Linked DNA regions of Drosophila melanogaster. The protein of the gene in region 3 interacts with the protein of the main gene of each other region in a pairwise test. Each region holds a gene or a part of one and is shown on either strand. Other genes may lie near its edges.

What was found.
Region 1: the proteins of CG2972 (region 3) and CG11345 interact in a two-hybrid assay, tested with the Drosophila melanogaster proteins (one large-scale study listed by BioGRID).
Region 2: the proteins of CG2972 (region 3) and CG7126 interact in a two-hybrid assay, tested with the Drosophila melanogaster proteins (one large-scale study listed by BioGRID).

The regions. Positions count from the first base shown.
Region 1 is NT_037436.4:4,456,587-4,459,918, forward strand, and holds CG11345 (uncharacterized protein), read right to left. Parts: upstream 1,578-3,332; 5' UTR 1,527-1,577; coding exon 1,524-1,526; intron 1,460-1,523; coding exon 734-1,459; 3' UTR 591-733; downstream 1-590. Other genes in the region: CG15022 (uncharacterized protein), read right to left, coding at 2,712-3,332.
Region 2 is NT_033777.3:18,301,413-18,304,768, reverse strand, and holds CG7126 (uncharacterized protein), read left to right. Parts: upstream 1-1,919; coding exon 1,920-2,358; intron 2,359-2,423; coding exon 2,424-2,578; intron 2,579-2,636; coding exon 2,637-2,717; downstream 2,718-3,356. Other genes in the region: PKD (protein kinase D), read left to right, coding at 1-637, 707-903; Polr1E (RNA polymerase I subunit E), read left to right, coding at 3,122-3,188, 3,252-3,356.
Region 3 is NC_004354.4:10,081,435-10,085,550, reverse strand, and holds CG2972 (uncharacterized protein), read right to left. Parts: upstream 2,398-4,116; 5' UTR 2,304-2,397; coding exon 2,229-2,303; intron 2,170-2,228; coding exon 826-2,169; 3' UTR 501-825; downstream 1-500. Other genes in the region: Naxe (NAD(P)HX epimerase), read left to right, coding at 1-90, 149-371; ZAP3, read left to right, coding at 3,247-3,618, 3,680-4,116.

The DNA.
Region 1 (3,332 bases), on a different chromosome or scaffold from region 3:
GAAAAAGCTAACTATAGTTAGCCGGCGAGCCCAAATGGGCTGAATTAATAGATAAGAAGGACACAAAGGGGATTCAAGACTTCCCCGTATGCCTTAATAAATAAATTAATAATAAAAACTTTCACAGCATTGTGGGCGGATTAAAACAAAAAAAAAATAAAATACTTCCAATGGTCGGGGGCGTATCATCACACCTCTTAAACAATGCCAGCGATTGTCTCGAGCAATTAAGGTGGTATCATAAATTATAAGAATGTCGTTTATTGAAGCTCAGCCACAATTCGACCCATAAAACTACAGCTTATTATGGCTGCTAAGTTCAATTACTCAAAGCTGGATTTTGTTTGGGTTGTCAATAAATCAAGCCGGAATTGGCCATAGAGCATTACTCAGTGTAGTTCCCAAAATAACCACAGCTGGATTGTCCATGAATGAAACTGTTCTGCCTCGGTCTGAAATATAATTTTAGCACTCCCGAGGCAATTATGCTGTCTATCGTGGCACTTGAGCCGAGTTCGTGGTCATGGCCTCTTTTACGATAGGATTTTCCCTTCTCAAGTTCAAGATCAGAACAGGATATACATATAACACGCTTGGGAAACTACGTTTTCGCAGTGCTAAGCTTTATTTCGTTTTTAGTGCAGGCTGAGCTAGGTAAACAATAAATAACTACAGGTAAATACACGTCACACTCAAAGACAACAAATAAAAAATGGCTGAGGATGATGGCTATTTAGAAGAGGAACGGCTGAGATGGCGCATCGTAGTGGTATCCATCATCATGGGACTCCACGATCTCCTGGGGTGGCAGATAGGTGTTTACGGGTTCCTCCAGAGGTGCGGCGTATGAAGGGATCGGGATCTTGAAGGCGGGCACTACAGCTGGTGCGACGTAACGGGGCTGCTCCACCACAGGTGCAGGTGGCAGATAAGCGGGCTTGGGTGGGTTGACCTTGACAGCCGGTGGTGGAGGTGGCACATAGGCAGGCTTGGGTGGGTTGACCTTAACAACCGGTGGTGGAGGAGGCAGGTAGGAGGGCTTGGGTGGGTTGACCTTCACAACTGGTGGCGGAGGAGGCAGATAGGCAGGCTTGGGTGGATTGACCTTGACAACTGGTGGCGGAGGAGGCAGATAGGCGGGCTTGGGTGGGTTGACCTTAATCACTGGTGGTGGAGGAGGCAGATAGGCGGGCTTGGGGGTCCTGACAACCGGGATCTCAGGTTTCACGGTCGCTGGTGGCAAATAAACTGGAGGAGGCACGGTCACAGGAGCCTCACGAACGGTCACTGGTTCTGGAGGCAGATAAGCCGGAGCCGGAGTGGGCAGTTCAAAGGGGATGCTTGGTGGGTCATAGTTGTAGCCAGGATGGTCATGGTGATCATGGTGGTCATGACCGAACAAATGCGAGACATCAGCGGCTACCAGAGCCAAGCTGCAAACAGCCAGCATAAGGACTTTCTGAAATATACAATAAAATCAATTTAACACGCTGAGCTATTATCCTTGGAGAGTAAACACAAACCATTTTTCTGTTGGAACGTTCTTGGTGCGACGACGGCCTCTACCGAAGTGATACAGTTTCCGGCAAGTGCTTCTTTATTTATACAGTTAGAGAACCTGAACCTGAATCAGTGGTCGCTATAAAGCGATCGCGTCACGTTATTACCTCTGGCCAACGCCGACGCCGCGAGAGACGATCTGACTGCGATCCGTCTATATCCAAATGGCCCGGTTGTCAGCTAAGCGGCGTTTAGGGGTCTCGCCCCTTTGGCAGCCGGTATTGGGAATTGGCATTCAATTTTTATTAAATCTCTTAATTCGAAGTCATCTCGTTGCGTTGGCTTTTGTTTTTTTTTGGCCCGACCAGGGAGCTCTTTATGGCTGGGAGCCATAAACGTGTTGGGTTTTACGATCACCGCTGCGTTTGCCAAGTACTTAAAATAGTTTTTGGTTAGGCAATTATTGGGATAAATAGTTTATCGTACTTTTGGAGTTGTTAGACTATTTATTTCGTATGCATTAGTCATCATGTACCTAAGAAATGTATAACATTATTGATACATCACTATCAGGTTTTAATTAAAATGCTTAAAGACAAAATGAAAGACAAATCAAGTGTGCTATTAAAGTAACCTAATGTTTAAACATTTAAACTTTAACCCTTTTCAAAAGAGCATACTCAATTCGTTAGGGGCTTAATTATTTATTTCTGTCTAATCTTTTCATGGCACCTTTAAAAGACTTGCCCCATCTCTGGGCAACATTGAAAGAGGTCAACTGTCGTCCCATTGCCGATGGCTGCAATTGGCGATTAGCGATTTTGGTTCGGTTTGAACCTTTCTGTAACCGACACCGATCAATCCCTATAAATATATTCAAACCAAAACTCACATCATTTTTCATCCAAAAAGACAGTAATTATCGACACTGCAGGTGATGATCGAGCTGAACTAAAGCTAAAACCGAAGCCGTTTGGCTATTTCGGTTGATTGGCCGCAATTAGATTTGGAGGTCAGATTGAAATCCACATGGATCCCTTGGGGGCTGGGTGACAGCAATTTGGGTTTGATATCTTTGACCTTGAGGATGGGGAAAGAGTGCGAGTGGTGTAATACTCCATTTTATTTTTTGTTAAAAATGCTTTTAATGTGTACAGCTTAAAACTAGATGCAGTGCTTGTGGTTTGGTTTTTTTTCGGTGGTTGATTATCCTAATGCCTGAAACGGCGAAGTGGAGGCTTGTAGTGGTAACCAGGCTCGGCGTCGTGGATTGGACTTGGTGCAGGGCCCAAGGGCAGTGCATAGGATGGAATCGGTATGTGGAAATCTACCTCAGGCTGGGGTGGCAGATATTTTTGTTCGGGCTTAGGAGGCAGATACTTCTCGACGGGCTCGGAAGGTGGCAGGTACTTAGTCTCCGGCTCGGCAGGAGGAAGATACAGCTTCTTGGGAGCCACTGGTGGGGGTGGAGGTGGTGGTGGCAGACTGGGTGCAACCTTGGGTGGCAGATACCTTGCCACTGGAGCAGGTGGCAGATACTTCACCTCGGGCGTCGGAGGAGGAAGGTACTTGGACTCTGGCGGACTGGGAGGCAGATATGTGGGCTTGGGCGCCACAACTGGAGGTGGTGGTGGAGGAGGCAGGCTGGGAGCGACCTTGGGTGGCAGATACTTGGCCACCGGTTCGGGGGGCAGGTACTTCACTTCAGGCTTTGAGGGAGGCAGATAAGTTGCCTTGGGCGGTGGAGGTGGTGGCGGTGGCAGGGAAACCTTGGGCGGCAGGTACTTCTGGCGAGGTTTCTCTGGAGGTCCATAGCTATATCCGCTAGGGAT
Region 2 (3,356 bases), on a different chromosome or scaffold from region 3:
GGCGTGCACAAGAAGACGCAACGCGAGGTGGCCATCAAGGTGATCGACAAATTGCGCTTTCCCACCAAACAGGAGGCGCAGCTGAAGAACGAGGTGGCCATCCTGCAGAACATCTCGCATTGCGGCGTCGTCAATCTGGAGCGAATGTTCGAGACTCCGGAGCGGATCTTTGTGGTGATGGAAAAGCTCAAGGGCGACATGCTGGAGATGATCCTGTCGCATGCGAGGGGCCGCCTGAGTGAACGGGTGACCAAGTTCCTGATCACCCAGATCCTGATTGCCCTCAAGTACCTGCATTCGCAAAACATAGTCCACTGCGATCTGAAGCCGGAGAACGTGCTGCTCTCCTCGGACGCCGAGTTTCCGCAGGTGAAGCTCTGCGACTTTGGCTACGCCCGGATCATCGGCGAGAAGTCCTTCCGGCGCTCGGTGGTTGGCACTCCGGCCTATCTGGCACCGGAGGTGCTCCGTAACAAGGGCTACAATCGATCTCTAGACATGTGGAGCGTGGGCGTCATCATATACGTGAGCCTGAGCGGCACATTCCCGTTCAACGAGGAGGAGGACATCAACGACCAGATCCAGAACGCGGCCTTCATGTATCCACCAAATCCCTGGAAGGAGATCTCCTCCAATGGTGAGTGTAGGGGCTAAGCACGAAATTCAAGTCCAGGCTCATCAATGAATCCCTTTTGGTTTTCCCCAGCCATCGACCTGATCAACAACCTGCTGCAGGTGAAGCAGCGCAAGCGGTACACGGTGGACAAGAGTCTGCTGCACTACTGGCTGCAGGACAAGCAGACGTACCGCGATCTCCGGAACCTGGAGGCCCAGGTGGGTGCCGGCCGGTATCTGACCCACGAGGCGGATGATCTGCGCTGGGACTGCGCGGGCGACATGTGACCTGGCTGTGAGCCCGAGGCGATTCTCGAGAGCACCACCGAGTTAATCAGCTGCAGCGCCAACACCACCACCGAAAGCTATCGTCGATCTCCGGCGGACTGCGCCGGATGCCATCGGCTGTCGGATTGCGGGAACTCACCCAAATCGGAGGCCATGAGCGACAGGGCGCTGAAATGGATGCGGTTCCACCTCTGCCGGCACATCAAATAGCAGTACAACCTTATTGCCTAGCCCATAAGTTTATCCTATCTCTCTAACTCGCTTCTCGATTGATATCCGCTAAACAAACGAACTCTTCTTACCACTTACCACTTACCACTTACCACTTACAACTTACAACTCTGTGTGCTAAATTTTTCTCTAGAATCAAAATTAGTCGATAGCTTTAATTTGTTAACCACCTAAAGGCAACTCTTATGAATAATACACAAATACTTAATATACTTATGTGAAAATAAAACCCAGACGTAACTGCGAAGCTCAGATCCAGTTTAGTACCAATGGCCATAAGTTACAGGAAGAACCCAAAAACCAAACGAATGGCAGAGAAATATAGCTGAATAAACAACGCTTGACAATTAAGAGACCCACTTCGCGCTTTTACTTACAGTCGCGGGCAAATAAATAGGTAGCATTGTCATATTTGGGGTTAATTTGAAAATATATAATTCATTTTGTTAGCTAATTTAATATTTAATTAATATTTAATATTAATTTATAAAGTATTGCTTAGTATTTTAATTGTAATATTTTCAAATTAGATCATGCTAATTTGTACTATTTTTTGTAGTTCGAAATGACTATATATGTATGTAGATATTTTTCACATATGTAGTAAACAAGTGTATCTTCATATTTTGAATATATTTTTCCACCCATGACTGTTTGTCACCGGTAATGGAAGTGTCTACAACTTAAGGTGCTCCAAAAGATCACTGGCCTGCAACGGTGGACCCCTTTCTCGCCGAAATTTCAATGCTTTCCAACATTTCTTGTTCAGCATTTCAGCAGTAAAGATGCATTTTATTGTGCCTCAGTGCTTCATAATGGCAATTCTTGCCGGGATTAGCCAGCAGGGCGATGACTTCAGCACGCCCAGTGTCGCCTGGTTGGAATATCAGCGGGAGAGATTCGGTATGAGCAGTAATCCTTTCTTGTTTGGGTCCACCAAGGCACCAACAGTCCCAAATGTAGAGGTGGTGACCCCGAAAGTGGAGACTACATCCAGGAAACATTCATCCAGCTCAACCGAAAACGCAAATCCGGAATCGGAGGAGGACGAGGAATCCACGGAGCCACCAAACGAAGATGAGGAAGTTGGGGTGCCCAGCGTTCAAGGATTCTTCAAGTTTCTAAAGGACATGCAGAAAACTTGGATCAAGAAATCGACTCTCACTTTCGGAAAGAAAATAAAGTTGCTTCAAAACCTACGAGATAATCTTATAAAATTGATAGGTTAGTTTTATAGGTTTTAAGATCTTATATGTTGCCTTATTATAATTAATCTTCTGATTTTGTAGAGCAACAGTTCTCGGTTCTTTGGCAGCCACCAGAGCGAAAAAGGAGACGTCGACGTGGAATTTTGGATGACTCGGAAATAGACTTTCCGCCTGAGGCGGCAATCATGAGCATCAACTTTTTGACATTCGCCGTTTTCCTCATTAAGCTCGTTATGGTATGTTGGAATTTATATTGAAATATTTATATGTATAATTAATTTTCTAATATTGCAGCAAGTGGTTAAAATTGTAAAAAGCAAACATGTTACCTTTTCTGGATTTACCTTTTCACCAGAAGCTGCAAGACGTCCATAAAGTATTACCACTGCTTAAGTTTGACACGTAGTTTAGATTTTAAATATATTCTTTTAAAATGAAAAACGAATTTTCGTGAAACAGAAAACTATTTTAGAATTTATAATAAGTAGTCTGCTGCTTAGAACAATGATATATTAATCTTTCTTATGTTTACCAGATCTAGATTTAAATTTTATGAGTTAGTTTAGTCAAAGGTTAGTAAATGTTTTAATATTAAATGCTGTCGAAACCAATTTTCAAAATTTGAACTATCGATTCTTATCGACTATTCGATTTTGGCTGGAATCGGCTTTCATATCACTCAGCTTTCGTCCATCGCATGTCATCTGTTTTGTTTTCCACACGTGCAACATTTGAATTGTTTCTAAAAGCCAGAAAAATTCAAATATAACGCAGTAACAATGGAAGATAAAATTATAATAGAATCCGTATGCGATCATAAAAGAGACGAGAACATACCTACCATACGTAAGTTAACAAGTGCAGCCATCAATTAGGAAGAAAATATACAATCTCACCTTCCATCCATAGTGAAATTCCAGAATGGATCTCTTTTGGGCGACGCAGATTTCAGCATGGTAGAGAGCACCGTAGATGGCAAAAAGCATGCCTTAGTATACGCGGGTGACCAGGTGT
Region 3 (4,116 bases):
GCTCTTCGGATTCAGCTTCAAGCCGCCGGTGCGAGCGGACTTTGTCGCCGTCGTGGAACTAATGCAGCAGACCAAACTGCCAATTGCCAGGTGAGATTCGTTACGTTATACTAGCTAATTCTAAGCTAATGTTGCTTCCTCCTTGCAGCGTGGACATTCCCAGCGGCTGGGATGTGGAGAAGGGCAAGCTGACTGAATGCGACGTGGAGCCGGCTCTGCTCATTTCCCTCACTGCGCCGAAACTCTGTGCCCGCCAATTTCGCGGCGAACATCACTACTTGGGCGGCAGATTCGTGCCGCCCGCCCTGCAGCGCAAATACGAACTGAATCTGCCCGTTTATCCGGGCAACGAGCTGTGCGTCAAGCTGTGATTTCTGCATTTATGCGGTTTCCCAATAAACGATGGAGTCTTGAGCCGCAACGTCTGGTTTCCATCCATCATTTGAAATGAATTCTTTGTTGAAACAGCGACTATTTTGATTTCCAGAAGCAGCAAACACAATGTTCAATTAAAAACAGATTTAATTACGTTAAAAAAATGAAACTTAATGCTAGTTCATAACAAAAAAAAAGATTTTCTAGCTTTTAACTTTGTAAATAAATATTGGAATTAGAATCCAAGAAAAACTCCATACCTTACATACAAAAAAAAAAGATTTATTTCGTTTAAAAATAACGCTTGTAACTACTTGAAAAGCTTCTCTGTTTACATTTTACAAAGTTTCAGGTTCTCCCTTGTGTTTTATTTTATATATTATATAAATTTATATAAAGTCTACGATTGGAAAGCTAATGAACAACTAGCCCCTTACTGCCCAGAGTAATCTACTTGTACAAGCGATTGTAGTTCTTGCGCCGGCGATCCTCCTCGAAGTTGTTATTCCTGGCCCACTCCTTGAGGTTGCCCTTGGAGCGCAGCATGGCGGACTTGGAGTCCACGTCGCGCAGCACGAAGGGCGAGAATCCGGCCGTGTAGTCCTGATCCAGAGCGTTCGTCTTGGTCTTGGCAACGCGCGACGGCATCTGCCTGGGCATCGGCTGATCCTCGAACAGGATCGGATTTCTCGAATGCTTGCCGCCCTGGAAGCGAGGCAGGCTCTGATTCTTGTACTTATTGGTCAGCGGACGGCGCGTATTGATGTGAATCACCTGGCGACCGTTCTCGTCCAGACTGACGGCCACACGTTTCAGCGTCTTGTTGCCACAATTGGGGCAAAACACCTTGGTCATGATGCTGGTGGTCTTGTAGCACGCGTAGCAGCGGAGTATATATGTGCGCAACTGCTTGATGATCCGGCCATTGAGGGCGGCCAGGTGGAGATTTAGCTGCTTGAGCACGTTCTGCAGCGCATAATCGGTGGTCATGCAGGCGACGGGCGGCACTTCATCCGTTTCCACTTTGCCCTCGAGCGCTTTCTTGGCCTTCTTGATGTTTGAATGCGTGATCCAGCCATCGTCACCCACATCCTCGTCGAGATTTTGGCTCTGTTTGGCTTCTTGTGGCTCGGATACCTCCTCATCTACTTCGGCCGGCTGGGAAACGAGCAGTTCCGAGAGCTCTTTCTCTTCCTCGGCACTGGGTGCGCATTTGAGCTGCTCGAACAGCTTGTCCAGCTCCTCCTGACTGGGCTCCTGGTCTTGGTCCTCCTCCTTTTCGATGGTCTCGCTGGCAAATGGTTCCTTGCCGGCCAATTGGGCTTCGATGGCGGCTTTAACAGTGTCTGGGGATTCATTTGCCTCCTGCTCATCGCCTTCAGCATCGTCCTCTTCCTGGGAGTAATCATCTTCCTCCTCGGAATCCTCCTCCTCCTCCTCTTCGCCCTCGGGCATGTACCAACCGACCAGTCTCTTGTTATTAGCATCCTGCATCTCCTCGGGTTTATCCTTGGACGCAATGGTCTGCGCCATCACAGGCTCCTGGCGCAGGTGATCAGTGCCCACGTTGTCTGCTTCCAGTTCGTAGGTGAGCGAGATCACTTTCAGATCGATCCCCGAGAGACTCGCGTAGTCACCCGTTTTCTTGGCGAACTCCACGCAGTGTTTAATGCTCTCCGGACGAGGCTCGCGCACCTGGAGGTCGAAGGGCAGAACGCAGAGGCGGCGAATCTGGCGCTTGTTGCGCACTTCGGCCACCACATCCGGCACGGTGAGCACCTGCTCCGCGTATTCCTGTAGGGGATTAGTGGCGGCTTTAGATGGCTCGAATGGGCAAATTGTGCGTGACTTACATTCAGGGGCACGGCGTTTATAAAGGCTGTGGTGTCCGCCACAAGGAACTTGATCTTTTCGCTCGTTTCGGCCATTTTCAGTGCTAATTTTCACATGAAAAACAAAGGACGGCAAAAAATAACAATTTCTGCACGTGTCGCGATTAGTGTGGCTGTAGTGAGCTGTGACCGTTACGTTAGGGTATGCTAAAAATACCAAAAAGTGTTTATGAATTTGTGATTTTAATATTAGTTAATTAAATTTTACATTTTTAAGAGTTAGGCAAAGCTAAATGAATGCGTTCCCTAAAATTTTATTGCTAGCTCTCAATAAAATTGTTAAAATTAATTCATGTTAAAATATATTTCTATGAGATATTATATTATTATCACAGGGAGATATCGGTCCTGACTACTTAGACTTTCGGCCGGACTGTTGGAAAATTACCAAATTTACTTAACAAACTACAAAAAACATCAGTTAAACAAAATATCACTTGACTTAACTTATATTAACATATTTACAGATATGAAAAAATGTAGTAAAATGCCTGGTCTGAGAAATCTATTAATTTGCTGCAGATTTTCAAAAAGCTCATTAGAAGGTCTGCCAGTTTGATCTTCTTGTTTATTTTTTTTTTAACATATTTTCGTATTATCAATACAACTTCTACGAATCAATCACTTAAGCAAGCTATCTTTGCTAATTTTTCAATTTGTAGGCTTGTAAGTGCATTGGATTACATTCAAATTATTTTATTAATTGGCAATGGAATATTCTAGGGTGCTTGCGATATATGGATGCACACTCGCAGCACGGTCACACTGCCCGGCCCATTTAGCTGACAGTTCCATCTCTAGTTTTCAAGCCAAATATGGCGAAGTTTTCATTATCAATTCGTTCAGATAGCAAACTGAATTAGTGAAAGGTGGACGATTTTAAACGGAACGGAGCCAATCCGCCGGATTTTGTGAAAGCCCAACCGAGCGGTACAAGTGTGTTATTCGCTAATAGGCTAATCAATCCAGTGGACACGGTATGTGGGGCCAATGGCAAACCGCCGCCGCAGTGGCTCCCACTGCCGCTCTACCTCCGCAACCGTCGGTTCCGCCACCGTTGCCGGACGCCCCGCCCCCTCCGCCTCCATCGGACGCGACCGCCGGAGCCGGAGCATCAAGCGGTGCCTCTGCACCCATAGTCACGACTGCAGCCGCAGTCACAACGGCCCCTGGATTCAACCCCTATAGCAGCGGCCAGGCGACGGGGGCTGGCAACCCCTATCAACAGTATACGGCCGCCCAGTACGCGGCCATGACACCCGAACAGCAGTACGCACTGCAGCACCACTGGCAACAGTGGCAGACATACCAGGAGGAGTACGCCAAGTGGCATGCCCAGTACGGTGAGCAGGTGGGTCAAATCAATTAGTTATCGACGATCATATTGCTATAGTAGTCTTCCAAATCTTTAGTATAAGCGTGAAATGGCCGCAGCCGCGGCCACAACTACCGCAGTTCAAGGCGTGCCCGCGCCTGTGGTAGCGACTCCTGCAGCAGCACCCGTCCCTGTGGTCGCTCCTCCCGGGCCACAGGCCTATCCTGTCGCACATAACTATTACCAAGGTGTCAGCGCCTCGCCGGCGCAGTCAACTACACCCGTAGCCGTCGCGGGAGCACCGCCACTGCCCGGTAAGATCATGGCCCAGCCGCAGATGTACAACCAGCCGCCGCCGCCACCACAAAAAGGCGGTTACAATCAGCATCCGAATGACATCCAAAGCATGTGGTCAGGACCACCGCCAATGCAACAGCCGCCGCCAAATAGATATGGTGGCGGTCAAATGAACCAGATGAACTACAACATTGCCGGGCAAGACAACCAGGGATTTCCGAATCTCCAGCAGCCGCC